Struthio camelus: one gene and its partners. The protein of the gene in region 1 purifies or fractionates together with the protein of each later gene. This does not show direct contact. Links are inferred from orthologs where the notes say so. Each region holds a gene or a part of one and is shown on either strand. Other genes may lie near its edges. The genes, in order: PDS5A, SMC1A and WAPL.

Region 1 (11,196 bases):
AGAGCAATGTCTTCTGCAGTTATGACTTGCCGTCATCTTGCCACAACTGCCTTAGCTGACCTTCAGTTACCTTGGCAGTTACCTTGCACATTGGAGACCTGAAGGTTTTGTGTCCTGGGGCAGGTTTGTTCCTACAGCTCTGACTTTACCAATGAATGGAGGCCATTAGTTGTATTGTTGGAAATATTCTCTTGCTTGGTCAGCATAAAACAGAATTGTTTTCTAAAAACAGTAAGTAAACTTTCCTATCCTGGTCAAATTCCAATTGAGATAACAGCATTCTACATACAGAGTTCCTATGGTTTCAGCTGGATGTTACATTCACGTCTCTTAACCTACCCTCTGGTACCATATGGTGTAGTTAAACAGCTGTTGCACTTTGTGTGAGAGGTGGCCTCAGTGACTGATGCTTGAAATGGATCTCCTTGGTATATTCATTTATAAGACCCTTCTGGGTTGGTATAAGTTATAGAAATGCCAAACATTACTCTTTTTTTCCATTAACCTTGGTTTAATTATTGCAGTAATATAAACGAAATCTGATTTTTTTAATATACAAATATACTATTTTACTCCTAGATTTAATTTTTAGACAATGCCCTTAAATACATAGATCTCTAAGATGTCTAATATTAAATCTTCTATAGGATAAGTTCAATGCCTTTTTTAAAAATAGACAGTGATATTCAACAGATAAAAACACATGGCAGTTACAATGAAAGTCAGCTTATTACTTCTTGTCATGTGCAAGGCAGAAATATTAAGCACAGTTTGTTTTTCCTCTTTCCAGACTCAACAGAGCAGGATGGATTTTTGATTTCTATGAAATTTGACATATCAGATTGATAAAAGCAGCATAGCAGAGAACATCCAACACATGAATGAGATTCACCACAAATCAAAACTGAAGTGCAAACTTATTTCAAATTCTGTCCTTGTGGCAGCAGGGTTTCTGTCAGGCATATAAGCATGATCTCATTTCTTGCCTGCAGAGAAGACACAATTAAGTATAATTCTTTACCTCTTGGATTACATCATTTGTTGTCATCATCTCTGTTCTCTCCCCATCCCCTTTCCAAAATTTCAAGAATATATAAATATATCCCCCCTCCCTTCTGTCCCTCCTTCTCCTCTTCCCCTTTTCACTTTTTTTACCTAAAGAATTAAAGAATTAAATTTCTACCTCCGGAGTACTGGGCAATGTGCTCTAGAGGACTCTGAGCAGAGCGGGTTGGACTAGATGATCTCCAGAGGTCCCTTCCAACCTCAAGCATTCTGTGATTCTGTGATTCTGTGATTCTGTGAATCTAATTCAGGCTGAGGGGGGAGTTATTTCTGTAGGAACACAAAGTACAATATCCTGGACAAAACAGTGATAACTGGAGATACAGAGATTCCGATAGCCAAGTAAGACATCTTAAAAGAGCATTAGGGTAAAATGCCATTTAAAAAAAAAAAAGAAAAAAGTGTCAGTTAACACACATTTCTTTTCCCTCAATGGTGAATAAAAGCTAAAGCTGAGGACAGAATGAAAGGCTCCATAAAAAAGAGGAAGGGTTATGGCATGGAGGGACTGAATCAACATTGTATCACAAAGTTTACTGAGGGAAATAGATGTGGGCTCTTTTCACCTCTGTACTCTATAGGGCTGGAAAATATCACTACAATTTAGGGCTCTGATTAGTTGTCCAAAGTGAAACTCTCAATAAGGATGAAGATTATGCCTCAAGTTCCTTGAAAGATAACTTGTTTTAGATTACTGAAGGCAGGCATGAATTTGTCAGGCGTGACAAATTTGTCAGGTAGCATTATTTATATTTTAACGTACCCTATTTCTCAGATGTTTTCCTATACTATATATTATTGCAAATTCAATATGCTATTGCAAGTAGAAATAAAACTGTCTTTAAACCTGACAAAGATAAATATGTCTATCTTAATATACCATAATGTTACTCAAACTTTAAGCTGCAAATTGTTTTTGCATAGAAAGAAAGCAGGTGCAAATTTGCTGAGTGGTCTTAGTAGGCTGTATATAATCAAAAACAGTAAAAGTGATTGTCATTTTCTTGTTTTTATGGCTCATCTTTGGTAATAATATTTTAATGTGAACTATAAGATAAGCAAGAACACAGTAAAATGTTTTTATTTGAAGAGGCAGCATTGCAGAAACTGAAATGGAAAAATCTGTCATGAAAGTATTCACCGAAGACCAGACTAAACACTTGTGCCAAACAGCACAGATTACATGCTGTATGTTCAAGCCATTCCAAGTAAAACAAGCCAACTGTAGACATAAGGAGAGACAAAGGAATGAAAAAAAATTAACAGATAATAGGTGATTACTGTGTTGTTTGAAAATAGTTGTGTGAAAATAAAAAAAAGGAATACAGATAATTATAATCACTCACTGTACCAGAGGTTCTTTCAACTATCTAGATGCCAATATCCCTCCTATTTAAAGTGTTAACTGAAGTAGTGAGAAATCTGCCAGTACCCAAATTAGTCTGGCATTTTCATGGTGTCAAATACTGTAATGTGTACAACTGGCAAAGAACAACATACTTTCATGCATGAAGTGCCAGCAGCAACACCCCACTAGCAATGCAGTTCAATGGAGGCTATCAGATTCAAGCATGCTAAAAACCTTTCTCTTCCTCTTTTTTGGCAACTTAAAAATATAAAGACAAAGTCATTAGACTGGAATTTACATGACCTATCTTTCCAAACGTATGATTAACACGTTACCAGCATCACGCCCTTAAAGAGAAAAGATTTTGTTTCTGATACTTGTCCAGATACTGAAAAAATTAAGCAAACGCTTCCTTGTACATGCATGAAAACACCACTTGGCACCAAACACACAAATTCTGATCAATATTTGTTCTCCTCCATATTTTTGGACATTTATAATATTAGTATATTGAAGAATTTCTTATTTTACTTCACTGAGTCATAGCAGAGTCTTTTTTTTTCTTTTTTAAACCTACCAGCACATTCTGTGGACTGAATGCTTTTAAGTATTGTATTAGAAATGTAAATGTTTGGTCTTATTTATTTAAATGTAGCATACCATATAACTACAAGATAACCACTGAAATACCAGAGTGACTGGCAAATTAACAATGCCTAAATCAATTTCATTCCTAAATCATACTAAATGCTTTTAATACCATTTTCAGAATGTTAACATTATTTGTATTGCAAGAACACATGCAATCCTGGAGACAAAAATGATTTGCTTTTCACTTACTCTGCTATCAGATGGAAGGCAGTTGGGGATTGTGATCAAGTTACTTTGAGCACCCTTCTGCAGTTTCACAAGTGAGCCACCCCATAATTAGTTCGTCTTAAAACTATCAATTATTTTTGTACTTTCTGGTTCTTTATTCACATTAAAGTTGCAGCTCTAATGCAAACAGGTCAGCCCTGACAGTGAAGTGAAACAATAGCGAGACTGCAAAAGGAAGCAGCTGCGGGAGCAGGAGTCACTGCGACACAAAACTGGCAGTGACTTTTCCTGATCTTTCTTGTGATGAAGGATGTAAGCTTAGGTGCTAAATAAGTAGCGCTTCAGTGTAAGCTGTCTGTTAAAGGCCACTTCTTGTTTCCCTCTTCGAAGGAAAATGAAAGAGAAATTAGGCTGGGAGAAAACCACCTTGTTCTCTGAATTGGATGAATTACAATGCAAGTGAAGATCGTGATGGGAGACAATATTACTCCCTTTGGGGAAGAAATGATTCTCTTCTTTCACAAGAGAAGAAGCTTCTGTTCACTAGGAAAATCGCAGTGTGACATCTCCAGCTAACTTCCTCCTGCGGTATTGTGCCACGATGGGAGATGGTTGAATACAGATGGAAGGGGAGGTCTCTCGAGACAATGGAGGCACAAAGGAGGGATGTGAGAAAAAATCATCATCCTCCTGGAGCCAAGTGAAAAGCAGGAAGATAAGCAGTTGAGACCCTGCCCTATTATCTGGCTGGCCCAGGCAGCGAGACAGAGCTTTCAAGGAGGCCTATGGCTATACATGTAAGTGCGGTTCTTGGAAATCAGCTAATGGGTAAGGTTGATCAGGATTCTTCCGGTTTTTTATATATGATACTATACATATATATATTACTCATACACGTAAATAAAATCTGTTTATTATACCCTCTTTTGCATGACTGTCCATCTGTCAAGTGCTCATTGCTTGTTGCAGAAGTAAACGTCTCTCTAACGAAACCCTCCGCTAACGCGGTACTCCTTCTCTCGCCCGGCGCTGCCGCTCCCTCCTCCACCCCGCGGCAGGCGCCAGACCCCTCCGCTCTCCTCCTGCTCCTTCACGAACACCGCCGATCCCGTGACGGCCGCGGAAACGCTAGTTTCTGCCCCAGAATCAGCCTCGTTCTAGACCGCGCTCAGAACTCTTCTGCTGCCACGTTATAAACTGCTAGTAACACAGGGCAGCGGCACTAGACACGGAACACCCTTCCTTTTCATTACTGATCCAAAGCCCACCAGTCGCTACGCGGCTGATAGCCGTAACTACCCTGCTGTCCTCGACCTGCAGTTCTCCGCTGCACCCACCTGCATCCTGTCGTCATGCCCTTTCTAAGCAAAGTCTATCTCTCAACACAGATTCTGCCACAGCAGTGCAGCATACAGTTCCTTTTTTCAAAGATTAAGACGCGAAGCCAGCGGCCAGTTTTATCGCTAACGACGTGAAAAGGGCGGTTAAGCGCAACCATCCAGAGACAAGGACGGCAATTAGCCAGCCCGCAGACTAAACACGGCCTGCCTTTCATGGCGCAGGACTTCACTCCCCTGCCTCCCGCCCCTTCCTAAATCGCTTGTTTTCCTTCCCAAACGACTTCCTTTAGAGTGAGGCCGCCGCCTGCACCACCGCCCGGGCCGAGCCGGGCTGGCAGCGGCCCCGAGGCGGGGGCCGGGGCCAGGGCCGGGGCGGGCGGCCGGCGGCCGGCCTGGGCGGCGCGGCGCGGCGGGCGGAGGGAGGGAGGGGAGGGGGCCGGGAGCGGGCGCGGAGCCTCCTCCCGGGCTGTTCTTCCCCGGCCGGACGGAGAGCGGCACTGTGTCCCCGCGGCGCACGCTCCGCCGCTCCCCCTCTCGCCGGCCGCCGCCGCGCCGCTCCCCGGTCCCTGCTCCTCCCCGAGCGGCAGCCGCCGCCGCCGCCAGAAGCGAGGGAGCCGAGGGCCAGGGACACGGCGAGACACGGTAAAGGCCGGCCGCGTCCGGCGAGAAGCGGCAGGAGCCGGGCACGAGCCTCGTCCTCCCCCTCCTCCCCATAGGGCGCGGGGCTGGCGGAGGACGAGGCGGCCCGGCGGCGGCGCCAGCGAGGCCTAGCCCGCGGCCCGGCGGCGGCCCGCCATGTCGGCGGCGGGCGCGGGGAGGCGGCCCGCGCCCCTCGGCGGCTGCCGAGCGAGCGCGGGCGGCGCCGGCAGGCCGGTCCCCGGCGTCACGGGAGGGGAGGGAGCGGGGCGGGTGCTCCCGCGAGCCGAGGGGCTCGGCCCTGCGGGCGGCCCGTCGCCAGCCACCTGCCTCGGCGGGGAGGGGGCCCGGCCCGGCTCGCGGGAGCCGCCCCCTGCGCCGCCGCCCCCGGCCCGCAGCGGGGGAGGGAGGCAGGCCGGGGAGCGCGGGCCGTGAATGGCGGGGCTGGGGCTGGGCCCTGCGCTGCGCGGGGGCCTCGGGCCGGCCTTGCCGCTGGGCTGCCCGCCTCGCGCGGGCCCGGTGAAGGGCTGTGGGTCTGCCCCGGCCCTCGCTGCGTGCGTGTGTGCGTGCGTGCGGGGGGCGAACTGGTCACGCCGCCCCCGCCGCTGCCTCGCTGCGGCTCTGCCCGGCCTGTAACTGCGTAGGCGGCGGCCGCGGCGACCGGTTTTCTCTCGGAAACGCCCGAGTCGTTCTCCCTCCCTCCTCCTCCTCCTCCTCCTCCTCCTCCTCCCCAGCGGCCTCCGAGGGGGCTGGTTGCCGCCCGGCGGCACCAGCAGCCCCGGAGCCCCCTGTGGAAAGAGCCGCCGCTCTGAAACCGGGGGAAACGCCGCGCCGCTCGCCCTGAGCAGCCGTGTCGAGGACGGTGTCCCTACTCTGCTTCTCAGAGAGCAGAACCCAGTGAGTTAAGTGGGCCGTTTACGAAGTTTCCTTCAAAACGAAATCAAAAGATTTTTACTGCTTTAAGGCTTTTATTTTGAACGGTCTAAAACTGCTGAAAGAAGCACGTTTCCAAAGTTGCAGCGTAGTGTTCACGTATGCTTTGGGAGATGTTCTGCACGTATTCTGCAGTTCTGCTAATCGAGTGCCCTAAGGTCGTAGGGGCTTCAGAGGGGAGGGAAGAAAACATACTGAAGAGCAGTACGCCCTTAACTCTTGTCCCGAACTAATAACGATTTGAACGCTGACTCCGGGAACGTTTTACTCTCTTGACAAAGTTTAGTATGTGTCTCAAGTCTTATGAGGCTTTTGGTGGGACCTTGTGGTTAAAATACGACAATAATTCATACGGAACTTAAGCACAAATCCTACGCAAGTTGTTTGGAAGAGGTTTCAGGTGAAGCAAAAGAACAAAGATGATGATGAAGTTGCTCCTCAGCCGTTTCACCTTTACTGAGTGGCAAATCCTAGCTTCAGGATTGGCTACTGAAGTAAAAGCTTTATACAATAGGACTTGGGATATGATTGGAGAGTATAAGCTTAAGACACAAACCTGAAGCAAATTACAGAGTAGCAGAGACATCCAGAGTATTTGAAATCACGACAGTTCTAGCCCCGCTTTACCTGGGGTGTAGTCACCATTACTAGGGTAGGGCTAGCTTGTGTCACGTGTTTGTAGTGCTTTTAAGTTGCAGTAGTTTGTCTTGCTGTAGGTTATACCCGTGTGTAGAGCCTACAAAGGAAATCTAACAGCATCCAAGCACATCTTAAGAATGCTTTCCTTTATAGGCTTTCTTCATTTGTGTTCTTTTTTTTTAGTGTGGTATTTTCCTGTGCTTTTCATGCCTTTGTTTACACTCGATTTCTTTAAGAAGTCTCCCTCTGTTGTATTAACGCTAGTACGTTTCATCTAAGGAGAGCACTAATGTGGGAGAGAAGCCAGATTCTTAGTGTTGCAAATGCAAAAGTGCAATAGAGGTGACAAAAATGTTAGCCTGGGCATGGTTTTAGGGAACATCTATGGCATATTCACAACTGTTTCACTGTGTGGTGTAGGTGGATCATTAGCTGTGACCTTGTCCAATTTAAAAAAGAGAATTATGTTGTCTTGGGTTACTGTATGAAGATGTTGTAATAGGCATGTAGGATGGTTGTAGTTCTGAGGTGTGTCATGGCCTGTTGTCTTTGACTCCTCCCTGTGTGCTGATCTGTAGTCTACACTAAATGACTGAAATAATCAGTCATGTTTCTGTTTTGAATAGACTTTTTCTATGTGTAGTTAGCTCCAGTAAAAGTTGTAGATTATTAATCCTGAGTTTTAGGAAGTTGCTGCCTTTGTCTAAACTACAGAGGCTTTGCTACTATAAAAATGTCAGTAGGGCCATTAAGTGTTATGTTACACTACCTCTCAGAATTAAATAAGGCCATGTTTTCTCCTGAATCCAGCTGTGCTTGTGGAAGAGGTTAAGCTCTCCAGCTGTTTCTTCTCATGACTCCACTGGGGATTTTGATCTATCAGCAGGATGGTTTATGTAAATGATCCACATTCCATTCAAAAATGTTATTAGTTAAAACCAGCATTTACAGCTATTTAAGCTGAGCTGGCTGACCTTTTTCTTTTCTCTCTCTCCTCTGCTCTCTCTCCTCTGCTCTCTCTCCTCTGCTCTCTCTCCTCTGCTCTCTCTCCTCTGCTCTCTCTCCTCTGCTCTCTCGTCTTTTCTTTTAAATCATGTGAGGTGAACTTGTGTATTGCTTTCTGGAGGTAAATTAATAGGGTTAAGTCTTGTTGAAATAGATATTGACAGTAATTTGGAGGCAATGCCATTTTTCATTGATGTACCTGGATCTGGATGAGGTCATCTATCTGTGGTTTACATTAAGTTTTTTTTTTTTTTAGTGTAATAGCTGTGTATGTGCTATGTTCAGTTGGCCTAGTGGCCTCAGAAAAGGGAGTGAATTTAAACACATGAAGTAGATAATATTCTACTGATAGATTCGCATGATGTGGTTTCCAGCCTAGGACCTGATCTAGTGGATTCCCCCAGATATTTAGCATTATTTTAGGATGTATCTGCATGAACAAACTATCATTCCTGTTTTGCATTTTTTTAAGTTGCATTGATATGATGCAACTTGAATCAGTGTAAGTTGGTAAGTGTATTAGGTTTCATTGTGGCATATTTTGGTGTGATAAAATATTTTGGAGTGGCGTTGTGTGTGGACCGCCAGCAAAATTTACAAACTGTTTTATGCCCTTTTCCAACCTGGATCCCTGGCTTTCTGATGTGTTCTCTACTGTTCTGAGGTCACCGGTAACTCGATATCACCTTGGTGAAAAACCTGGCTCATGTTCCAGCACACATTGTGCTCTGATGCTCCAGCAGTCATTTTCTTCTCATCTGTGACCTCTTATTGCAAATGCTTTCTGCAAACCTGAATATATCTTTTTTCTGTTTCTGTATTTGGGCCTGTGCTGAAGTCCAAACATTTCTTGTGCTTCAGCTTCATCCCAATGTGCAACAAACCTTCATTTGGAGTTACCAGAACTGGGAATTGTGAGAGATTCGTCACCAGAGATATGGCAGCTGGGGATCACCAGGGTGCAGCCCTATTTGCACAGCAGACTTTTGAAGGACTTGAAACAGACCTTCAGGTAGGAACAGAATATACTGCAGAAAGTTGGCTGGACAGTGCCAGCTTTGGATCGTTCTGTGTAGCAGATGCAGGAGGAGACTGTAGAGTGGAGAAGGCTTCATATGTGGAAGTGCCTGAACCAGGACCTGGTCATATAGCAGAAGCCTTGCCAGGTGTCTGCATAGGTCTGGAGATTCATGCTCTGGAGTCTGAGTCATTGAGAGCCAGTTCCCTTCAGGCCCAGCCACGTTTAGAGTTTCAGCAGTAGCTAGACAAAGAAAGCAAGCTTGTCTTCATTTGCATGAGCAGCTAAAGCAAGCCAAAATTTGGGCAAGTAGAGTTCATGTTTGATTGCCCGTGCTGACTGCTGCCAACACAGAAAATTCTAAATAATGTATTCTGTACGTTCCACTTTTCCATTCCTCCATAAGGCCACCTGCCTCTATATGCCAGTAATAGTAACCATCACCTGTGATCTCCAGTAATACTCTTTTCCAGTATCGTCCCGTTCTGATGGAACCGCTCCTCATGCTGCCATACGCTTGCTGCTGCGCTCTTGCTGATCCTCCAGGTATTACAATAAGTGCTCACCCATTGGCCAGGTCCCCGTCACAGCAAGCGGAAAACAAAATGTATATCCTAATGAGAAACAGGAAATGGCAGTATAGCAGGATACAGCAGTATTAAAATTAACCTCATCAGGAAAATCTTGCTGAGTTTTATGTTATTTTTTTCCTTTTTTATCAGCTTCAAACGTTTTGTGCTTTAACCTATTACCTAGCTTCTCTGCTAAGTCTTGCCAGGGTTGCAGTTTGTAAAAGACCACAAACTATTTCCAATGCTTCAGAGACACAGCAGATCTTGAATTACAGGTGCAGGTGCTGCTGTCAGAAGGCTGTTCAGAGAAAGGTACAAATGTACATCTGGAGAATACGTGAAAGGCCATTCTGTTCTGCTGATTGTTCTGACAGAGCTCTAATTTTACAGAGAGGGGTTATCTTTATTCACTGCCTTTTAACCTGACTTTTGGACAGAGTCTCTGGAAACATAGTGTGAGCAAGTCACAGCTCTGTTGGGCAGTTGTTCTCTTTTCTCTTTGCAAAGAGAAAAGAGCTCTTGCTGTTTTATAACATGGAGCAGAAATACAATTTTAAGCAGTAGTACTAACTGCAGGTGCTAAACAACAGAAATACTAACATATCCACTAGTCTGATCTCATTAGTTCCAGCTTTCTGCATTGCTCTAGGGGCTAGACGTGTGTCATGGCAAAGCAGCAGAGCTATGTGGAATCTGCACCGGTGGGCTGCCCAGGCACTCTGAGAGCTCTGCCTTGTGGAAATGTTTCACTCATTAAAAATGAGTTTGAAGGTGTGGATAACCCTTGCTACGGAATACTGGAGCCGGGCTTTGAGCTCTATGGGAGGCTACCAAAGAGTGAAGGAGGGAAGCTGTAAAAGGACTTGCTGTCTCCAGGCTCTCCTAAGGCTGGAAAGAAATACTGCAGGTACTGTCGTCGTCTTTTTTGAGGAGACAAGCCTCTCCACCTAAACGAAGAAAATAGCTGCCTGTTGCTTTTCTAGCCTGTCAGGCTGCATATCTGCAGCCTCCAGAATCCCAAGGCCACCCATGTTTACTATGTTCCAAGCCCTGACCTTCTGCACACAGCAGAAAGGAAGGTGTTTGGAGTCCTTGGGGAGGCATTTAGCAAATCATGGGAGGAATACAGATGCGTGGTGGGAATACCTTAAGGAAAGGGATAGCTCATAGAAAACCTGTCTGGCTTACTTTAGAAAAGCTAGTGATAAGAGTGCTCAGGTGTCAGAAGTAGTTCTAGTTTCATCTGAAAAAAGTCCAGCAATGGGAGAAAGAACAGTGAAAGAGGAGCACAAAGGCAGTAGTCCTTAACAAGCAGAGCCTGCTGCTGGAAAATGCACTTTCTAGTGACTGTTGTGTATTCCATCTTTCCTCATCCTACCTCCCTGCTTTAATCATGTGCAGCTGGCAGGAGATCTACGAGTCTTTGAGAGAGAGCCTTTCTGGGAGCTTGTGCTCAGTTGTAAGGAGCGCCTGCAAGAAAAGCAGCTTCCCAGCTTAAAAGGGAACGGCATGGTGTGGAGTGTGACAGTTTCTGTCACCTGTCAAACAGCAGCGGACTGCCACCGCAGGTTAACTTCCACTGCTCTTGACAGGCAGAGGAGAGCCTTTGAGCTGTTCCTAGCCAACAGGGCCCTTCTCTTTCTGAAGGTTGTATTTACTTCCTTATCATCTACTTTAGACCTGTGTGTGCTATTTTTGCACTCTTGAACTTTATTTATACTTGATGGACAAGGTTTTTGTTTCTTACTCGAAGCAAGTTTTCTTTTCTGTTATCATGAAAAAATCCGTCTATGGTACAGGCCATGCACAGGGCTTAAAAAT
Region 2 (10,268 bases), on another chromosome or scaffold:
TCCCCCACCTTGAGCTCCTCGGTCAGCCGCTCCTTCTTCTCCTTGAGCTTGTCCACGGCCTTCTCGTCCCAGCGCCGGGCCTTGGCCTTGAGGTCGCTGGCGCCCCCCGAGATCACCCCCGACTTCTGGAAGAGGGTGCCGTCCAGCGCCACCGTCTGCGGCCGGGGAGAAGAGGGTGAAGCGGCGGCCGGGGCCGGGGCCGGGCCGGCGGCCCCCGAGGGGGCCGGGCGGCCGGGGAGCCCCCACCTTGTGGCGCTGGTGGCCCCCGAAGGCGATGCGCCGGGCGTCCTCCACGTTGTCGCACACCAGGGCGTTGCCGCAGGCGTACTGCAGCGCCTTCTTGATGTGGGGCGGCTCGTAGCGGATCACGTCGATCACCAGCTTCGCCCCCTTCAGCTCCCGCAGCTTCTCGTCCGTGGGCTTCACCTGCGGCCCCGGGGGTTCAACGCGGCCCCCCCCTTCCCCACAGCCCCGGGAGGACCCTGAAACGGGGCCCCCCTGAGCCCCGACGCCCCCAGGAAGAGCCTCAGCCCCGAGGGATTCCCCCCCCCGCCGCCAACGTCCCTAGAGCCCCCCGGGGGTCTCCAAGGGTCCCCGCGCGCCCGGGTCCCACCTCCAGGTAGTCGAGGGGCAGGAAGGTCTCGGGCTCGCCCCGCTGCTCCTTGATGTACTGGATGCAGTCGCGGCCCGTCTTCTCCGAGTCCACGATGATGGCGTCCATGTTCTTGCCCAGCACCTTGGTCACGGCGATCTGGTACTTCTTCTGCGTGGGCTGGCACAGGTCGATGAGGCGCCCGTACTGGGGGGAGGCGGCGGGGGGTCAGCGGGCCCGGGGTGGGGGGCACGTTTGGGGGCCAGGCAGGCAGGTTGGGGGGCAAGCTCCGGGGCCGGGGGAGCCCCGGGGCTCGCGGCCGCACCACGGAGCCGGGGTAGAGGCGCTTGATGCTGTCCATGATCTCGGCCTTGCGCTGCTGGCGGCTGCTCTCCTGGCGGTCGATGCGGGCGTCCCCCAGCTGCTCCATCACCTGGTTGAGCTCCTTGTTGATCTCGTCGATGCGGCGCTTGGCCAGCTCCACCTCCTCCGTCAGCTCGCCCTCCAGGCGCTTCTGCTCCTCCAGCGACTGCCTGCGGGCGCGCGGGGGGCACCTCGGGGGCTGCCCGGGCACGGGGGGCACCCGAGCCCTAGGGCAGCCCCCTGGGGGCGCAGGGACACCTCGGGGACGGCCCTAGGGGGCACAGGTGTGGGGCACAGGGATGGGGGATGCCTCAAGGACCTCCCCAGGAGCACAGAGCTGGGGACACGGGGACGGGGGACACCTCAAGACCGCAGAGATGGGGACAGGGGACACCTCAGGAACCACCCTAGGAGCACACAGATGGGGACAGGGGGATGGGGGACATCTCAGGAACCATCCTAGGAGCACACAGATGGGGACAGGGGGATGGGGGACACCTCAGGAACCACCCTAGGAGCACACAGATGGGGACAGGGGGATGGGGGACATCTCAGGAACCATCCTAGGAGCACACAGATGGGGACAGGGGAATGGGGGACACCTCAGGAACCACCCTAGGAGCACACAGATGGGGACAGGGGGATGGGGGACACCTCAAGGACCACCCTAGGAGCACAGAGATGGGGACACGGGGACGGGGGACACCTCAAGGACCAGCCTAGGAGCACACAGATGGGGACAGGGGGATGGGGGACACCTCAAGGACCAGCCTAGGAGCGCAGAGATGGGGACGGGGGATGGGGGACACCTCAGGAACCACCCTAGGAGCACACAGATGGGGACAGGGGGATGGGGGACACCTCAAGGACCACCCTAGGAGCGCACAGATGGGGACAGGGGGATGGGGGACACCTCAAGGACCACCCTAGGAGCACACAGATGGGGACAGGGGGATGGGGGACACCTCAAGGACCACCCTAGGAGCACACAGATGGGGACAGGGGAATGGGGGACACCTCAAGGACCACCCTAGGAGCACACAGATGGGGACAGGGGGATGGGGGACACCTCAAGGACCACCCTAGGAGCACACAGATGGGGACGGGAGGGCAAAGAACAGCTCAGGGACCGCTCCAAGGACACACAGACGGGGACAGGGGGACGGGGGACACCGCAGGGACCACCCCAGGGACGCCGAGATGGGGACGCGGGGAGGCAGACGCCTCGGGGACGACCGCTCACTTGCTGGTGGCGATGTACTCCTCCAGCTTCTCGATGCGCTTCTGGTTCTCCTCGATCTCCCGCAGCTTCTGCTTGATCTTGGCCTGGGGCGGAGGGGGGTGAGGGGCGGCCGCGGGGGGCGGGAGCGCCCGCGGCGGGGCCGGGGAGCCCCACTCACCTCCGTCTCCACTTTCTTCCTCTCCTCCAGGTCCAGCCGGTCCTGGTCGGCCTTCTGGTCGCGGTTGAACTTCTCGAGCTCCTGGGCCAGCGTGGCGGCCCGCTTGCTGGCCTCCTCCTTCAGCCGGTGGTACTTCTTCACCTGGGGGGCGGCGCGGCGGCTCAGCGGCGGCCCCGGCGGCGCCCCGAGCCGCCCGGCCCCGGCCCCGGCCCCACCTGGTTCTCCTCCAGCGTGAGGTCGCGGCCCTGGCTCTGGCTCTCCTCCTCCATGCGCTCCTCGAACTCCTGCCGGGCCTTCTCCACCGAGAGCATCTCCTTCTCCAGCTCGTCCATGTCGCCCTTGCGCTTCTTGTACTGCTTCTGCGCGTTCTGCAGCGACTTCTTGGCCGCCTCCAGCTTCTTGATCTTGTGCGACGTGTTCTCCTTGGCCTTGATGTACTGCGGCCGCTTCTGGTTCAGCTCCGAGTCCTTCTCCCTTGGGGCGAGGGCGGGCTGAGGGCGGCCCCGGGGCCGGGCTCGCCCCCGGCGCCTCCCGGCCCCGCCACCTACTTGATCTCCTTCTCGATCTGCTGCTGCTCCCGCATCATCTTGCCCAGCTCCTTCTTGCGGTCCTTGAGCTCGTCCTCCACCCGGTCCATGCGCTTCTTGTCCTTGTCGATCTCCCGGTTCTTCAGGCCCAGCTCCTTGTTGAGCTTCTCGATCTCGGCCTCGTTGTGGTAGAGCTTGAAGAGCTGCAGCTGCACCTGGGCCCGCACCACCTCGTCCTTCAGCCGCTGGTACCGGTCCGCCTGGCGGGGGCGAGAAACGGCCGTGGGGACCCCGCCGGCGCGACGCGCCCCGCCGCCCCCCACCCCGCCGCCGCCGCCCCACCTCCTCCTTCTCCTGCTTGGCCTCCTTGCGCTCGGCGGCGATGTTCTTCTTGCGGTGGTAGTTGAACTGCGTGTCCTCCTCCGCCTTCACCATCTCCTTCTTGCGCTTGTCGTACTCCTGCGCCAGCTCCCCCGAGCGGCTGATCTCCTCGAAGAGCGCCGTGCGCTCCTTGGGGTTCTTCATGGCGATGGACTCCACGGCGCCCTGCGGCGGGGCGTCAGCGCCGGGACCCCCCCGCCCCAGCCCGGCCGGGACCCCCTGCCCCCCCCACCCCCCACCTGGAAGACGAGGAAGTTCCTGGCCTTGATGAGGATGCCGAGCTTCTCCAGCTCCTCGCTGTACTCGCTCAGCTGCACCACCCGGTTGTTGATCTTGTACTCGGAGGAGCTGCCTGCGGCGGCGGCGGGCGGCGGTGAGGGCGGCCCGGCGTCCGTCCGTCCGTCCGTCCGTCCCCCCCACCCGGCGCCCCCCACGCACCCACGATGACGCGGGCGAAGGTGCGGTCCTCGGCGCCCTCCTCCGAGTACACCATGCTGACGAAGGCCCGGCTGGCGGCCGGCTTGCCCACGGGCGCCCCGTGGATCAGGTCCCGCAGCGTCTTCACCCGCAGGTTGCTCGTCTTCTCGCCCAGCACGAAGCTGATGGCGTCCATCAGGTTCGACTTGCCTGCGGGAAGTGAGGGGGGGGGTGGGGGGGAGGCGGCGCACGGCATTGTGGGAGAGCAGGGGGCAGCCGGGCCCCTGCGCCGCGGGACGAGCGAGAGCGCGGTGCATCCTGGGAAGGCCGAAGGGCCCCGCAAGGCATCATGGGACACCTGAAAGGCTCCCCGGTGCATCGTGGGAAGGCCGAAGGGGCCCACAAGGCATCATGGGATGCCTGAAAGGCCCCACAGTGCATCCTGGGAGGACCAAAGGGCCCCGCAAGGCATCATGGGACACCTGAAAGGCCCCACAGTGCATCCTGGGAGGACCAAAGGGCCCCGCAAGGCATCATGGGACACCTGAAAGGCTCCCCGGTGCATCCTGGGAAGGCCGAAGGGCCCCGCAAGGCATCATGGGACGCCTGAAAGGCCCCGCAGTGCATCCTGGGAAGGCCGAAGGGCCCCACAAAGCATCATGGGACACCTGAAAGGCTCCCCGGTGCATCCTGGGAAGGCCGAAGGGGCCCACAGGGCATCATGGGATGCCCGCAGCACCCTGCGGTGCATCCTGGGAAGGCCGAAGGGCCCCGCAAGGCATCATGGGACACCTGAAAGGCCCCGCAGTGCATCCTGGGAAGGCCGAAGGGGCCCACAGGGCATCATGGGATGCCCGCAGCACCCCGCGGTGCATCCTGGGATGCCCAAACAGGCCCACAGAGCATCCTGGGACACTCGAAGGGCCCCGCGGTGCATCCTGGGAAGGCCGAGGCGAGAGGGCGAGGCTGCAGGTGCATTGTGGGATAGCGGGGGCAGCCGGGCCACCGCCGGGGCACGCGGAGCGTCCTGGGAGCGGGCGCAAAGCACCACGGGATAGCGGAGGGCGGGGGTCTCACCGGAGCCGTTGGGGCCGATGATGGCGGTGAAGCGGCGGAAGGGCCCGATGATCTGCCGCCCCTTGTAGGACTTGAAGTTCTCGATCTCGATGAGCTTGAGGAAGCCCATGATGGCGGCGGCGGGAGCCGGCGGGGAACCGGGCCGCTACGGGAGCCCGGAGGGCGGGAAACGGGGCGGCTACGGCAGCCGGGGGGGGACACGGGGACCGCGGCAGCCGCGCGCGCGCGCGCCAAGGCCGGCACCGCCCCGCGCCGCGCTCTCGCGAGAACACCCGCTCCTCCCCCCCTCCCCCTCCCACCACCTCGCACCCGCTACGCCATTGGCCGCCGCCGCCGCGCCGCGCGGGCGCTGATAGGCTCCCGCCGCCGCCGCTCTCCCCCCGCCGCCCCGCCCCTCGCGCCGCGTCAGCCGTCGGGTGGAGGCGGGGGGGGGGGGAGAGCGGCGGCGCGGTTTGCATACGGAGCCCCGCCCCCGGCGCAGGCGGATTGGCCGCGCGGGGGGTGCTCATTTGCATGGGGCGGGGCCCGGGTTGGGAGAGGGGAGGGGGGAGCGCGTCTCCATGGCAACGGGAGGGCGCCGGGCCGAGGGGGAACGTCGGGGGAGGGGGCAAAGGGCAAAGGTCAGGGGGGCAAAGGGCAAAGGTCGAGGGGCAGAGGCCTACGGGTTGAGCCATGTTTATTGGTGCGATGCGGGCCCGTGCAAGCCCCGCCCCCTCGTGCGAGCGGCCCCGGTGGCCGCGGTGGCCATGGTGGCCGTGGTGGTGGTCGTGGTGGCTGCGGTGGTGGTCGTGGTGGCCATGGTGGTGGCTGTGGTGGTCGTGGTGGCCGTGGTGGTGGTCGTGGTGGCTGCGGTGGTGGCCATGGTGGCTGTGGTGGTGGCTGTGGTGGCCATGGTGACTGCGGTGGTGGTCGTGGTGGCTGCGGTGGTGGCCGTGGTGGCCATGGTGGTGGCTGTGGTGGTCATGGTGGCTGCGGTGGTGGTCGTGGTGGCCATGGTGGTGGCCATGGTGGCCATGGTGGTGGCTGTGGTGGTCGTGGTGGCTGCGGTGGTGGTCGTGGTGGCTGTGGTGGTGGTCGTGGTGGCTGCGGTGGTGGTCGTGGTGGCCGTGGTGGTGGCCGTGGTGGCCATGGTGGTGGCCGTGGTGGCTGTGGTGGCCGTGGTGGTGGTCGTGGTGGCTGCGGTGGTGGTCGTGGTGGCTGCAATGGTGGCCATGGTGGCCATGGTGGTGGCCGTGGTGGTCGTGGTGGCTGCGGTGGTGGTCGTGGTGGCTGCAATGGTGGCCATGGTGGCCATGGTGGTGGCTGTGGTGGTTGTGGTGGCTGTGGTGGTGGCCGTGGTGGCCGTGGTGGTGGTCGTGGTGGCTGTGGTGGTGGCCGTGGTGGCCATGGTGGTGGCTGTGGTGGTCGTGGTGGCTGCGGTGGTGGCCGTGGTGGCCATGGTGACTGCGGTGGTGGTCGTGGTGGCTGCGGTGGTGGTCGTGGTGGCCATGGTGGTGGCCATGGTGGCCGTGGTGGTGGTCGTGGTGGCTGTGGTGGTGGCCGTGGTGGCTGCGGTGGTGGCCATGGTGGCTGTGGTGGTGGCTGTGGTGGCCATGGTGACTGCGGTGGTGGTCGTGGTGGCCGTGGTGGTGGCCGTGGTGGCCATGGTGGTGGCCGTGGTGGCTGTGGTGGCTGTGGTGGTGGTCGTGGTGGCTGCAATGGTGGCCATGGTGGCCATGGTGGTGGCCGTGGTGGCCGTGGTGGTGGTTGTGGTGGCCATGGTGGCTGTCGTGGAGGCCATGGTGGCCGTGGCGGTGGCTGCGGTGGTGGCCGTGGTGACCGTGGTGACCATGGTGATGGCCATGGTGGTGGCTGTGGTGGCCGTGGTGGTGGCCACGGTGGCCGTGGTGACCATGGTGGCTGTCGTGGTGGCTGCGATGGTGGCCATGGTGGCCGGGGCGGGGGCTGCGGTGGTGGCCATGGTGGCCGTGATGGTGGCCGTGGTGGCCGCGGTGGCCGCGGTGGTGGCCGGGGGGTCAGCGGGGGCGGCGGCAGGGGCACAGCAGGCGGGCCATGGCGCGCGACAGGCTGGTGCTGAAGGCGGCGTAGATCCAGGGGTTGGTGCAGCTGTTGAGGCTGGCCAGCAGCATGAGGATGGTGAAGGCCGGGCCTGCGGGCCACCGCCGCCGTCAGCGCCGCCGCGGCCACCGCTGCGGCCACCGCGGCCACCCGCGGCCAAACATGTTCTCCGTGTCCCCTCATGTCCCTCCGTGTCCCTCCATGTCCCTCCATGTCCCCCATGTCCTCCGTGTCCCTCCGTGTCCCTCCGTGTCCCTCCATGTCCCCCATGTCCCCCATGTCCCCCCATGTCCCTCCGTGTCCCCCCATGTCCCTCCGTGTCCCTCTGTGTCCCTCCGTGTCCCTCCATGTCCCTCCATGTCCCCCATGTCCCCCCATGTCCCATGTCCCCCCATGTCCCTCCATGTCCCTCCATGTCCCCCATGTCTCCCCATGTCCCCCATGTCCCCCGTGTCCCCCCATGTCCCCCATGTCTCCCCATGTCCCACCGTGTCCCACCATGTCCCCCATGTCCCTCCATGTCCCCCCGTGTCCCCCGTGTCCCCCCGTGACCCTCCATGTCCCCCCATGTCCCCCCATGTCCCCTCATGTCCCCCCCATGTCCCCCATGTCCCTCCATGTCCCTCCATGTCCCCCCATGTCCCCCATGTCCCTCCGTGTCCCTCCGTGTCCCTCCATGTCCCTCCATGTCCCCCCATGTCCCCCGTGTCCCCCCGTGACCCTCCATGTCCCCCCATGTCCCCTCATGTTCCCCCCATGTCCCCCATGTCCCTCCATGTCCCCCCATGTCCCCTCATGTCCCCCCCATGTCCTCCATGACCCTCCATGTGCCTCCATCTCCATCATGTCCCTCCACATCCCCCATCTCCCCCATGTTCCCCAGGTCCCCCAGGTCCCCCCAGGTCCCCCCCGTCCCCGTCCCCGGGCGCTCACCCTCGACGGGGGCCCGGGGGTCCCAGACGGCCCACAGCTGGGCGCAGAAGAAAGGGGCCCAGCAGCCCACGTAGACGGCCAGCACCACCAGCGCCATGCGGTGGCTCTTGGCCCGGGCCCGGCCCAGCCCGGCGACCGCCCGCCGCCGGCCCACCGCCCGGGCCACCGCCGCCAGCAGCCCGGCCAGCAGGGCGGCCGGGGCCACCAGCACGGCCAGCGCCACCCAGGTGACGTAGGCCCGGGCGCCCCAGGGCCGGACGAAGACGGCCCAGCAGTCCCGCTCGCCCGCCGCCACCTCCCGCTGCCCGAAGATGGCCACCTGGGGCAGCCCGAAGAGCAGCGCCAGCCCCCAGGCCGTGGCCAGCGGCCCCCAGCGCCCCCGCAGCTCCCGCCACGCCGAGGCCACCGCCGAGGCCACCGCCCAGGCCGCCGCCGGGCACCCGCCGCCCCGGCGCGCCTGCTGCTCCGGGTGCCCGGGGGGAACCGGCCGGGCGGGAGGCCCTCGGGTGGCACCAGCACCTGGGGACGTGGGGGACGTGGGGGACGTGGGGGTGGCACCAGCACCTGGGGACGTGGGGATGGCAGAAGGACCTGGGGACGTGGGGGACCCGGGGGTGGCAGAAGGACCTGGGGACGTGGGGGACATGGGGGACATGGGGGTGGCACCAGCACTTGGGGACGTGGGGGACGTGGGGGTGGCACCAGGAGTTGGGGACATGGGGGACATGGGGGGCACAGGGGTGGCACCAGCACCTGGGGACATGGAGGTGGCAGAAGGACCTAGGGACATGGGGGACCCAGGGGTGGCAGAAGGACCTGAGGACATGGGGGGCATGGGGGGCACAGGGAGCGACCTGGAGGTGGCACCAGGACCTGAGGACATGGGGGACACGGGGGGCACAGGGAGGGACCCAAGGGTGGCACCAGGACCTGGGGACGTGGGCGACCCAGGGGTGGCAGAAGGACCTGGGGACAACAGAGATATGGTGGACACAGGAGGAGACCTGGAGGTGGCAGGGAGACCTGGGGACAACAAGGACGTGGGGGACACATGGGGGGACCCAGGGGTGGCACCAGCACCTGGGGACAGGGGGGTGGCACGAGGTGGCAGAGGAAGGGGACCCAGGGACACGGGGGGAACAGGGGGGGACGGAGGGGGCTGGAGACCTGGGGACAGTGGGGACGCGGTGGCACCAGGACCTGGGGACAGGAGGCTCTGGGCAGCCTGGGGACCCCGGGTCACCCTGCGCCAGGCGGCGGCCAGCGGCCCCCGGGGTCCCCGGGGTCCCCACGGGTCCTGGGGATCCCTGGTGTCCCCATGTCCCCAAGGGGGGTCCTGGTGTCCCTGGGGAATGTCCCGGGCGTCCTTCGTGTCCCTGGGTCCCCAGTAGAAGTCCTGGGCATCCCTAGAGCCCTGGTGTCCCCTGGGGACCTCCTGGAGGTCCCTGGTGTCCCCATGTCCCCATGGCAGGTCCCGTTGTCCCCTGGGGACCTCCTGGAGGTCCCTGGTGTCCCCATGTCCCCAAGGCAGGTCCTGGTGTCCCTTGGGGACCTCATGGACATCCCTGGTGTCCCCATGTCCACAAGGTGGGTCCCATTGTCCCCTGGGGACGTCATGGACATCCTTTGTGTCCCTGTGTCCCCAAGGTGGATCCTGGTGTCTCTTGGGGACCTCCTGGAGGTCCCTGGTGTCCCCATGTCCCCAAGGTGGATCCTGGTGTCTCTTGGGGACCTCCTGGAGGTCCCTGGTGTCCCCATGTCCCCAAGGTGGGTCCTGGTGTCTCTTGGGGACCTCCTGGAGGTCCCTGGTGTCCCCATGTCCCCAAGGCAGGTCCTGGTGTCTCTTGGGGATGTTCTGGACATCCCTGGTGTCCCCATATCCCCAAGGCAGGTCCTGGTGTCCCTTGGGGACCTCATAGACATCTCTGGTGTCCCCATGTCCCCAAGGTGGGTCCCATCGTCCCCTGGGGACCTCCTGGAGGTCCCTGGTGTCCCCACGTGCCTGAGGTGGGTCTTGGTGTCTCTTGGGGACCTCCTGGAGGTCCGTGGTGTCCCCACGTGCCCAAGGTGGATCCCGGTGTCCCCTGGGGACCTCCTGGAGGTCCGTGGTGTCCCCACGTGCCCAAGGTGGGTCTTGGTGTCTCTTGGGGACCTCCTGGAGGTCCCTGGTGTCCCCGTGTCCCCAAGGTGGATCCTGGTGTCCCGTGGGGACCTCCTGGAGGTCCCTGGTGTCCCCGTGTCCCCGAGGTGGGTCCCCTTGTTCCCTGGGGACCTCCTGGACATCCCTGGTGTCCCCGTGTCCCCGAGGCGGGTCCCGGTGTCCCCTGGGGACCTCCTGGAGGTCCCTGGTGTCCCCGTGTCCCCGAGGCGGGTCCCGGTGTCCCCTGGGGACCTCATGGACATCCCTGGTGTCCCCGTGTCCCCGAGGCGGGTCCCGGTGTCCCCTGGGGACCTCCTGGAGGTCCCTGGTGTCCCCGTGTCCCCGAGGCGGGTCCCGGTGTCCCCTGGGGACCTCCTGGA
Region 3 (10,310 bases), on another chromosome or scaffold:
TTCTGTGCAACAGAAATTCAGAGCACCCACTTTTTCCATACAAATCATTAAGCAGGCAGGCAGCAAGCCTTATCCCCATTTACCTACACTAAATTAGAGTCAGTATCTTAAGAACATTACATTCCATTATTACCAAACCTTCACTTTTTATGATACCACATATTGAAAAGACATGAAAGCACAAAGCTCAGAACAAACGTCAGAAAAGGAAGATAATTATTCCATTCTACACAAAGTGGGCTAACGCATTATGTTGAATTTAAAGCACCGTATCTGAATTTGCAGACATAAGGAATCGAGTACCAAGGATCCCAGACCAACACAAGACATACATTGTTTCGTTGCACTTATAGTTTAAAAGGAGATGAAAAATCAGCTGCCCCAAGGTTTGATTAGAATATTTAATCAACCTCAGAAAGCACTAATCCTCAGCGTAGATCTGAAAAACTAGAGGGTAACAACACTATTCAGACAGTTGGGTCAATGTACCTGCAGTTACGAGTTTAGCACTGCTGCCTTTGCATTCTCCATCTTCTACGTTTTTGCTTGTGCTCTTTTCTTTTAAGCTGGGAACAGTATCATCAAAAGATATGCACTTGCTGGACACAATGTTTTCTCCGCTGTCTGGCTGATTAATTCTGCTATTAGCTTCAAGTAGAGAAGTGAAGTCCTCAGACTGAGCAGCTTCACCGGGTTCCAGCTGAGAGGAGCTTTTAGCCTGTGACACATTCTTTGAAGACACGGGAAGAGACTCTTCATCACTGTCAAATCCAAATGGATCCTCTGTTACCTCATCTTCAACTTTGGGTTTTTTAGGAACTTCGGAAATATCTGGTTTGACACTGGGCCTCTTCTGTCCTAATTTGGCCATGAAGGTGGTTTCTCCCCATTTTGTACTAAGGGTGGTCCGTTTGTTGGAAAATACTTCATCAAACTTTGAACTGCCATTTCCTCCTTTCCTGCTGTAGGTCTTTCCAAATCGGGATGTCATTTTGGCTCCTGTTTCATATTCTCTGTTGGAAAAGAAAGAAGAAACAGCTTTACTAACTTTTTAGTACAAACGATTGCAATTCCACCCTTTATTGGGCCTATGAGCACGAGACATTCACGCTTCACATTAACAACAGATACATCATCAGTTCCTTTCTACAGACTAACTGAATTCATCCACAGGTGAACGCCATTATCTGTCAACATTTTCTGCAACAAGTTTCACATCCATCAACTTAACCTGAAATCCAGTTACTTGCACATTTATAAAATAAAGATATTGCACAATGAATCTGTAAGAAGAATCTGCTATGAGTGCATTATTTTTGGTATGTGCTTTGCTCTAGTTTTATATCTCCTAGTATAGATGGCACTGCTTCCATGAAACATCAGCAAAAAACAAAACAATACTTTCAGCACATCTGAACGTGTAGCACTCCGCTAGAATCCCATAACACAGTATCATTTTAAGAAGGCTCTCCGTAGTTAAAAATTAAAGGGACTGTCAAAATATTCCAACTTGATATAGATGTTTTAAATACGAATTCGTCACAAATAACAATTTCACCTCATGCTTTTCTTAAAAGCTCAGGCTTACACAGTAAGCATATTTTGTGGTAATACCCTGTGGCTTATACCATCTGCACAGTCATGGCCAAAACCAGTACACAGCAACCCCCCATGGCTGGGCTTGATTTGGTGAACGGACAGGAACAGACATTTCTAAATTCGTTTCTAAGAACATGGAGGATACCTACTGCAAACAAACACAAATGATCACTGTTTACTGGCTGTTATAGCTGTAGCCCAGTTCAGAGCTTGCTCTGTCAAAAGAGTAAAGTTTAAATATAAACAGATTAAACAGAAACACATTTAAACACTTCCCTTGGTGTGTTCTATTGCTGCTTTTGTTTGATTCAAGAAGGAAGACAGAGCAGCTTGTTTCTTGTTGCCAAAACAAATACCGTGACTCCTAGACAAATGACAATATAGAACATAGAGCTAACATATCTACTTTACAAACCAGAATCTCTATCTTTTTTTTTTTTTTTAACTATTATTATTAAGTTTTTCAGCCCTAACATGAACAGGAAAGTAGATTTTTTTTTTTTTAAATAGTCAATATGACTCTAACCAAGTCCATCTCTTTTGTCTGAAAGTACTCTCCAGAGTAGAAAAAAACTGTTAGGAAAAAGGGAAAAAAATTCCTTTAAGCTACAGAATTAAAGAAACAACTTTTAAAGTGCCAACCCTTTGCATATATATTAAAGTATAAAAAAAAGGGCTTGAAATCTTCATTAATAAACTTGTGAGCACACTATAAATTTGTTAGAAAAAACTATTTTTATTCCCCTGAATCGGTGGCGTACTGTCCGTCTTTCATATTTTAGTTCTCATCATGATACACGCTGTTTCTCAACCTGAAATACCGGACTTACTTCTGCCAAAAAAGCCAGACTGTTTTCCAAAAATGTCATTCTATCACTGCAGCCTAGCAAGATCGTCTCACTAATAATAGTCTCCCGTTATCAGACTAGGCCAAGCTTCACTTATGGTACCAACCAAGCAATTCCTAGGGTCATCTGTGGGGCTAGGTGAACTAAAAAATAAGTTTCAGAAGTTTACCAACCAGATGGTGTTGCAATGCAGAAGATCCAGGAACAACCGTGCTGGGAAACATTCAACTCCCCAGCAGTTAAGCAGATGGATGATAAAGGCATATGCTTATGTACTGGCCAGAACTGTGCTATGAAATACCATTCTGCGGACTTCTCATTGCTACTCAGAATTAAACTAAACAGCAAGCGCTCTCTTCCCATAGCGTCACCTGTCTACTGTGCGGCACTCCTAACATGGCCGTCAAACTACTGTTTTTGCTCCCCTGATATTAGCTAATTTCCTATTTTCCATCCAAGAGTGAAACTACAGTCTCCCCACATATTTTAGAAAATGAACAGCAAAACAAATCAAACTTACTAGTTTTATTTCACCGCTCCTTGAAAATACTTGTAATAGAAATCAAAATATTTCATAGTAGGCCAGTTTTTACAGCTATAAAAAATGAACTATTTAATAACATTTGAATTTCTATGTAACTCTTATCAGGAAAAATTCATTTTGCTCACCACAAGCACATTTTTCTCCCTGACTTAAATAAATATTCCCAACAGTTTGCCCTTTCAGCATCCGCAAAAAATAATGGCAGGCTTAAACTGTGACTTGTGCTGTTCAGTTTTGAAAAAAAGATTTCTGTAGCCAAAAGTACTTCATTTTCAGTAAGTAGAGCTCTACACTCTAGACCGTGCTATTCACAAGATTAAAAATTAAAGCTTTCTCTAAAGAAGATTTGAACAAAACGGCCAATACTCAAATATATATATATGCTACGTGATGGAAACAGGTTAAAAGATGAGTGTCTGGGGAAAGATAAGTACCCTATACTATAAACGCATAGCTTGAAGTCTGATTAAAGATAAGGACAGACGTATGTACCTCCTTAAATCAGAATATCAACAGAAAAGGATTTTTCTTTTTTAATTAATCACTTTCAATTCTCCCTTGTTTTTTCACTCAGGGCAAAATAATAAACTCGGCCAATTTCACTCTGTTTCCATTCCCTGCCTCTCTCCTTTCCACACCTCGTGCTGCAGTATGTGGAGTAGGACAAGAAAGATAAATACAAGCACAAACCGAAAAATAAACCGCCTGTGTTCTCCGGAGTTACCCTGCCAGGCCGACCGGACATAAACAACCGACAATCGTAAAGAAGGCACATCAGTCATCTTTCCTCGCTGCTCCTTGCTACGCCACCCCTCTTACATAATCGAAGGAAAGGAAAATAGGTTAAATGCACGGAGGCAGGAGCAGCTGATGAAATCCCACGGTGACAGTTTCTTTTTTTTTTTTCCCCTCCTCTCTCTCTCTCTGCCTCCCCTCCCCCTGCGGGGGGGCGGGGGGGTGCCGGTGGCAGCGGGTGCTGGCGGAACCGGGTGGCCCCGCCGTGCGGGCCCGGCCGCGCCTGATGTCATTTCCCTTCGCGCGGGCCCCCTCCCCCGCCGCGGAGGAAAACCCGGCCGGGCCGCAGAGCAGCCCCCGCGGCCCGGCCCGGCCCGGCCCGCGCGGCGGCCGAGGCCCAGCGAGGCGGTTGCCAAGGGCAGAGCCTGCCCCGCCGGCCGCTCCCCCCCGCCGCGGGCTCCGGCCCGGCCCGGCCGCCCTTCGCCCCCGAGCAAAGTCCCGCCGCGGCCGCCCCGGCCTTCCCCGCTGGGGGGGCGCTACCGCCGCCGCCGCCGCCCCGGAAGCGGGAGAGGGCCGGGGGCCGCCCCGCCGGGGCCTGCTCCGCCGCGGCGGCCCGCGCAGGCCTCGGGCGGCCGCCGCCAGCCGCGCCGGCACCTACCTCGGCGTCAGCGGGGGCGGCGGGGCCCGGCGCGGCCCGGCGCGCTGCGGCGGCGCCACGGATGTGGCTCTCGCCGCGGTTCCTGGCCGCCGATCCGCCGCCTGCGACAGGCGCTCGCCGACGGGGCTCCCCCGCCTCCGCCCCTCCCCCCGCGGCGGCGGCGGCCTCCCGGGCGGGCGCAGGCGCTAGGGCCCCCGGCGCCGCCTCCTCCGGCGCCGCTTCCTCCGCGCCGGGATTATCGCCGCGCTCGGGACAGGCCCCGGGACCATCTCTCCGCCATTTGCCCCCCGCTCCTTCCGTCACTGCGCGTCCCGCACCCGGCCGCCGCCCGCAGCCAATCGCACCCCGCCTTACTCAACCGACGGCCGCGCCGCCGCGCATGCGCCCGCCCCGCGCGCGCCGGCGCCGCCGCGCCCGCCCCGCGCGGCACCTGCTGGGAGTTGTAGTTGGCGGGGTGGGGGAGGGGGTCCGACGCCGGCGGCTCGCGAGTCGCTCCGGCCCGGCCGGGCGCGGCGCGGAGCCCTGCGGGGCGCGGGGGGCCGTGCGGCTGCCGCCGCGGCACGGAACAAACACAGCGCCGATGCTCCCCCCCACCACAGCGAGAGTTTGGTCGTTTCCGAGCTGCTCGCTCCTCTGAAGAAACCACCACCCCCCCCCCCCCCGGAGCCTAACAGCAGTCTCAGCGAGCGGCTAGCAAGCCTGCCAGCTGCAGAAAGGGTTTAAAATACAGGCCCCAAACACTGGAAATTAAGAAGGGGGGGAACCCGCTGACACCACTGCACGGAAGAGCTTAGGGTTGTCTCCGAACTTGCAGTTAAGAATCATGACTTTTATCCTCGATTTTTCCCTTTCCTTCACACAACGCAAATTCAATAGTTTTTTTAGTAGACGTGACAGAGTCTTGTTTTGTTTAATGATCCTGTCAGTAAACCAACTTTCTGCCTTTACCTGACACCTATTGATGTACTGACAGGTAGTATTTTTAGAGAACAAACTCTCCAAACGTGTTCCTTAAAAGACACTATACAATTGCCACTAGAAAGAGAAAGCGAAGATAAAGTAGACCAGGGCCTCGTGATGAGAAGTGCAGGCTTGATTTGCAATATGATAGAGGTGCTCATTCTGTTTGAAGGAAGGTTTAAAAGATTATTTACATCTTAACCACCTGACTCGGTGATTGAAGAGCTATTAAAAACAGGTTATACATTTTAAAATACACAAGTTGAATACAAATGGGTGAGCAGCTCCCGCCTGCCCCCACGACAATTCTTTTAGCAGAGCTGCTAATTAGCTGGTTTAAACTTCAAGAGTAAAATGGATGTCTAAACCAGCCTGAGTTTTGCATTCTATTGCAGGAGTTCAAAAATCTTATTTGGTGACTAACTGCTCTGTTAGAGCCAAAAACAGTCCTGTGACAACTCAGAATGAGCACAGGAGTCAGGCTCTGTGGAGTTCATTACAGCATAAACAACTCTATTCTGAGAGGCACAAAACATAAGGAACATAGCCAGAATAAGGCTAACAAACTGTTAATAACAAGCTGTTTGAGAATACTTTCTAGGAGTATTTGGAAATAAAATAGAAATTTTAGAGCTTGAGCTACTGCTACTCAAGTCACTTAAGCAGCAGCAGTTTAGAAGAGTTGGCAGGATAGTGACAGTCGCTGGCTAGTAGTAGTTTGTTTGAAAGCTCTCACGTACCCTAGCCCCTGCCGGCGAGCTTCGTCTCTCCAACAGTATTTCTACGCTCTGCGGAATCCCCACATACAGTAATCCAAAGCACTGCAGCATCACGGTCACGCTTAAATTTCACGTGACTAACAGAGGGTAAGTTTAACCTAACTTATGTGCTGACTATCCTCTTTTTGGTATTAGCAGAAGGCTGTAAGGCTAATAAAACCTTTCACTTATTTGAAAGCTAACAAATTGTCATGTTCAAGAACAGGAGAGACAGGCCAATTCTTCTAACACCTACCTTACTCTAGATACTTTTGAAAATGTTTATACCAAATACCTTAATAAGTTAGCAAACAGCATGTTAATCTTCGCTATTTCTATTTTATCTGGCTTACCTCAAATATGCAAGTACCAAGACAGAGCAAATATAAGCCAAATCCCACCTACTCTTGGCAGTAGGTGGGTTTAATTCTCCTAAAGGATGGAGTTTAACAGGCATCTTACTCCTTTTGTGGAATTCTATTACTGATAGTTGCCATCTTCCTTTACAGAAAAACAGATACAGAGGGGACACTCCATTTTGGCGTTCGCCTCCATAAAGAAAATAGTGAGAGGTAAGCAGCCATCTTAAGTCTTCAAATTTCCTGTCTTAAAATAGAAAGACAGACAGACAGACTTCTACAGCTTTCTTATCACATTCCATACCCCCCCCCAAACAAGCATCATTACTAGTAATAAAGTCAGAAAGCACTGAAAAACACAGCTCAAATGCTTCAAGGCTAGAGATAAAAGAGGGAAAAGTAGGGCAGAAGAAGAAACTTGTAAGGACAGAAGAGTTACTCAGACATATCTCATCCTGATAATGATGAACCCTCCCACTTCTGTTTCTCAAGTTCTATGCTGAGATCTCTATGGGGGTACAGTGCAGACTTTTCAAAATAAGTTATAGCCAAGGATGGAGCCATTTACATGATTCAATCTTTCAGCAGCCATTACAAGATTTTAAAAAGTGTTTCAACTTACATTTTCCTCCAGAAGAAAATGGAGGCAACACAGTAGGAAAATGGAAGAGTTCCCAGTTAGCAGTTACTATGGGGAAAGATGAAGACAGCAGCGTCCTTTTAGAAGCTGTCAGAAAGCTTTCTCAGTGCTTGGCTTATCTTCATGGCCAAAACTAGCATTTGACAGTTGTGTGTACTTAAAGTTAGGCTCCCAAGCAGATTTTTATGCAAATCAGAACAGTAACTATCCTTTATATCAAGTATCTGAATTAACAGCGTAACGCATCCTCCCTGCACCCCCTTTTCCCATAAAAGGGGAACGAGCTCAATAACCCGTTGCCCCCAGGCCCTGCTAAACACTGTTTGCCAAAGGCAAACATTAACTCACAGGAAGGCTCTATTATTCCTAACATCCAGACCTCTCTCCTCAGGATCATGAAACCCACTAACCCCTCAGTCCTCTTCTCTGTCTTCTCCTCTTTCCTCTTCTTCTGTGTCTCAGCCTAGCCCCTCTTTGCTTCCCATGTTCCCCCCAGCTTTCAACAATCCTTCCTTCCTTGCCTTTCTTCCAGGTGGGAAAGGATGGGGGAGAAGAGGATGTCCTGCTGCATTCACAGCTGCTGCAAAGCTTTCATGTCCCAATTAGTGCCACTTAAAATGTTAAACATTTCATGTGTTTTGGTTTTTCTTTGTAAAATGTCAGTCTCCTCCCGTTCCTGTCCTTCAGGAGGTGTCACCCAGCATGCCCCGGTGAGAGCACTCAGGGCTCTGCCATTCGCTTGGCGGGGGATGGAATTTTCCCCTTGCTATTTGCATAGCAAAGATGAAAGGAGGGTGAATAGATGCCTTAAGTACCTAATTATCATGTTTTAGTCAACCTCTCTGAAATAGCTCTGAAAATAGTTATTTATACACTAGTATCACTGCTAATACGAGGTGGAGGAAGTTCAGCAACACCAGTGGTAGTCTGGGAGTGGGTAGAAAAATGCACTTGCGCCGTGCTGAGAACACCAGCAGCTGGATCAGAGTGGACCGTAAAGCAGCACTTAACACCAGCGGAGAGGGAGAGGTTTGCAACTCAGCTTGTAAGGAACTGTGATTTTTGTCAATAAAATGGCTTTTCTTACTAAGGTGTTTCACCCGAGTAGAATATTGCTTATTTACTGACATGGAACCCTGAGAAGACCGACCACTTTCCAAAAGATCCAAAAGGGGAAGCTTGATACAGTGTTGGATCACATTTTTCAGTGTTTGTATCATACTGTAGCTTTCTCATCATGGGAGGTGGCCAAGATCCAGCATTAAGTTTAATAACGGAAAGATTAAAACAAGCACCACTGAGGGAAACAAAAGAATGCTTATACAAGCGCAGCTAGGAGCTGCTTCTCGCTGATAAAAGGGTTCTGGATCATGGCACTAATGAATCAGCCCCAGGCAGCCAGCAGAAAAAAAAGTTGTGCTGCTCCACCTTCTCTCCAGCCTGTACACCTATCTGTTGCAATCATGTGAGAGGCTTCATCATCTCTGTTATGTAAAAGCCTCTAGAAATACTAGTTCTGCTTGACAAACCAACAGTAGTCATTCACCTACGGCTAAATTCTTGGTGTTTGTTCTGTGCAATTTTTTTCCCCTAGGTGAACAGCCTGCAAGTCTACTGGAAAAACCTGTGGTGAGATACTAGTGGGAAAAGCACAACGTAGCCTCGACCTTCTTGTACTTTGTCACGATCAGAACTTTATTCCGCTATGGAGTTTATCTCGGCAAGCTACACTGAGAGAATAAACTGCCTGTGCCTTTTCCCACAAAGAATTTACAACACGTCAAGGTGTTTCAGGAGAAAAACTCACTTGCAGTGAGGATGCAGCCTAATTTAGAAGTGATCCTTCAAGGCAAAGAAAGCTTAGGTTCTTTGGTAAGGTAAAGTTCACATTGTTTTGTTACGGAATAAAAGGGGACTGAGTCTCTCGAATACCTGAGATCTGCTGCAGCCTTATCAGAGGACCAAATTCAACACCAACCTTCCCCTCTCCCCCAACTTTTCTTAGAGAGCTTGATGATGCACATTATTGTTGAATGCTGAATCTATGTCTATCTTCACCATGCCAGCCCTTAATACAAGCTACCAAAACTCACTGTCTGACAAAATATCTGCTGGGGAGTGAAAAACACAAAAATGCAACAAGCAACTGGTGTTTCAAATCTTCTTTCTGATAAAGAGTTCTTTTGATAGGACTCTCATTCTCCTGTTCTACTCCTCCTCTAGCAACAGAGGACCAGCGCCATGTCTGTTGTTCGTTTTCCTACTTTTCTTCCCTTACCAGTTTGAAAGGGCATATATGTGAGCATTATATTCCTTTGTCCTCTTAGTGTTCGTTTTATTAAGTTTGTGTGGCTCTTTATACACAGATCCTATAATCACTCAGTTCCCCTTCTGAGTTTTTATTTACAAGATTTTTGTTTTCACTTTTGTGTTTCCCAAGTACTTGTTTCTACTTTTTAGAAAGAGTAGAAGTCAGCCAGTAACTGACCACTTCTGCAGCAGTTACAAAACATTGAACCATAGAAAAGTTAGGTCAAACAACTAAGCTACTGCTGCACTGAGAGCAGTATGCGTGTCTTTTAAGGGTTATATGTGATGATACCAACAGCAGCAACGTAAACTACAACTAAAAAAGCAAATCCAGGAACAGCTGAAACCTTGCAGCACTAAAGAGGATTGGATAGATGTTTCCCTGAGCCTCACAGGAGAATTAATGTACTTATCAAGCAAACTAAGCTGATAAAATTAAAAAAAAAAAAAAATTGCATCAAGATTTTCTCATGAAAAGGTAGGAGGGTAGCAAAATAGCAGTTACGGGCTTCATTAGCTCCCTGCTAGAATACAGCCCTAAAGAAATTACTTCTCCTTTATTCAGATTACCACGCGGTACCATAAAGGAAGCTGCAATGTCTCCTGCCTCTTGCATAAGAGCCTGATACATCCAGCACCGATACACTGTGCCAGTTCTGCAGTCCTGTCTGCATTTAACAAGGTTCCCTACGTACAAAGTTACCATGCTCTGGGTAACGGTCAAAGATCATCCTACTGCATGCAACGGAAGTGCACGTTAATGAGTGCTGACAGAGTATTTCAGAATTATATTTGAAGAAGATAACAAAAGGCTAAAAAAAAAATAACCTGCATATTGATTAGTTCTTTAGATATATCAAGCAATGACTCATTACTGGATCAAGAGACATTCAAAGACT

What was found.
Region 2: the proteins of PDS5A (region 1) and SMC1A purify together in Homo sapiens (co-immunoprecipitation; 8 studies listed by BioGRID and IntAct, with this or other methods). This does not show direct contact. The link is inferred for Struthio camelus from reciprocal best matches to the Homo sapiens genes PDS5A and SMC1A.
Region 3: the proteins of PDS5A (region 1) and WAPL purify together in Homo sapiens (affinity purification with mass spectrometry; 6 studies listed by BioGRID and IntAct, with this or other methods). This does not show direct contact. The link is inferred for Struthio camelus from reciprocal best matches to the Homo sapiens genes PDS5A and WAPL.

The regions. Positions count from the first base shown.
Region 1 is NC_090945.1:61,486,841-61,498,036, reverse strand, and holds the start of PDS5A (sister chromatid cohesion protein PDS5 homolog A), read right to left. Parts: upstream 4,710-11,196; 5' UTR 4,587-4,709; coding exon 4,570-4,586; intron 1-4,569. UniProt on the Homo sapiens protein: Probable regulator of sister chromatid cohesion in mitosis which may stabilize cohesin complex association with chromatin. May couple sister chromatid cohesion during mitosis to DNA replication.
Region 2 is NC_090979.1:409,032-419,299, reverse strand, and holds the start of SMC1A (structural maintenance of chromosomes protein 1A), read right to left. Parts: upstream 5,054-10,268; 5' UTR 4,867-5,053; coding exon 4,758-4,866; intron 3,891-4,757; coding exon 3,702-3,890; intron 3,616-3,701; coding exon 3,503-3,615; intron 3,429-3,502; coding exon 3,225-3,428; intron 3,143-3,224; coding exon 2,904-3,142; intron 2,830-2,903; coding exon 2,571-2,829; intron 2,497-2,570; coding exon 2,356-2,496; intron 2,282-2,355; coding exon 2,199-2,281; intron 1,126-2,198; coding exon 918-1,125; intron 800-917; coding exon 614-799; intron 427-613; coding exon 247-426; intron 156-246; coding exon 9-155; intron 1-8. UniProt on the Homo sapiens protein: Involved in chromosome cohesion during cell cycle and in DNA repair. Central component of cohesin complex. The cohesin complex is required for the cohesion of sister chromatids after DNA replication.
Region 3 is NC_090948.1:33,735,591-33,745,900, reverse strand, and holds the start of WAPL (wings apart-like protein homolog), read right to left. Parts: upstream 4,046-10,310; 5' UTR 3,774-4,045; coding exon 3,682-3,773; intron 2,825-3,681; exon of another isoform or gene 2,621-2,824; intron 1,014-2,620; coding exon 490-1,013; intron 1-489. UniProt on the Homo sapiens protein: Regulator of sister chromatid cohesion in mitosis which negatively regulates cohesin association with chromatin. Involved in both sister chromatid cohesion during interphase and sister-chromatid resolution during early stages of mitosis.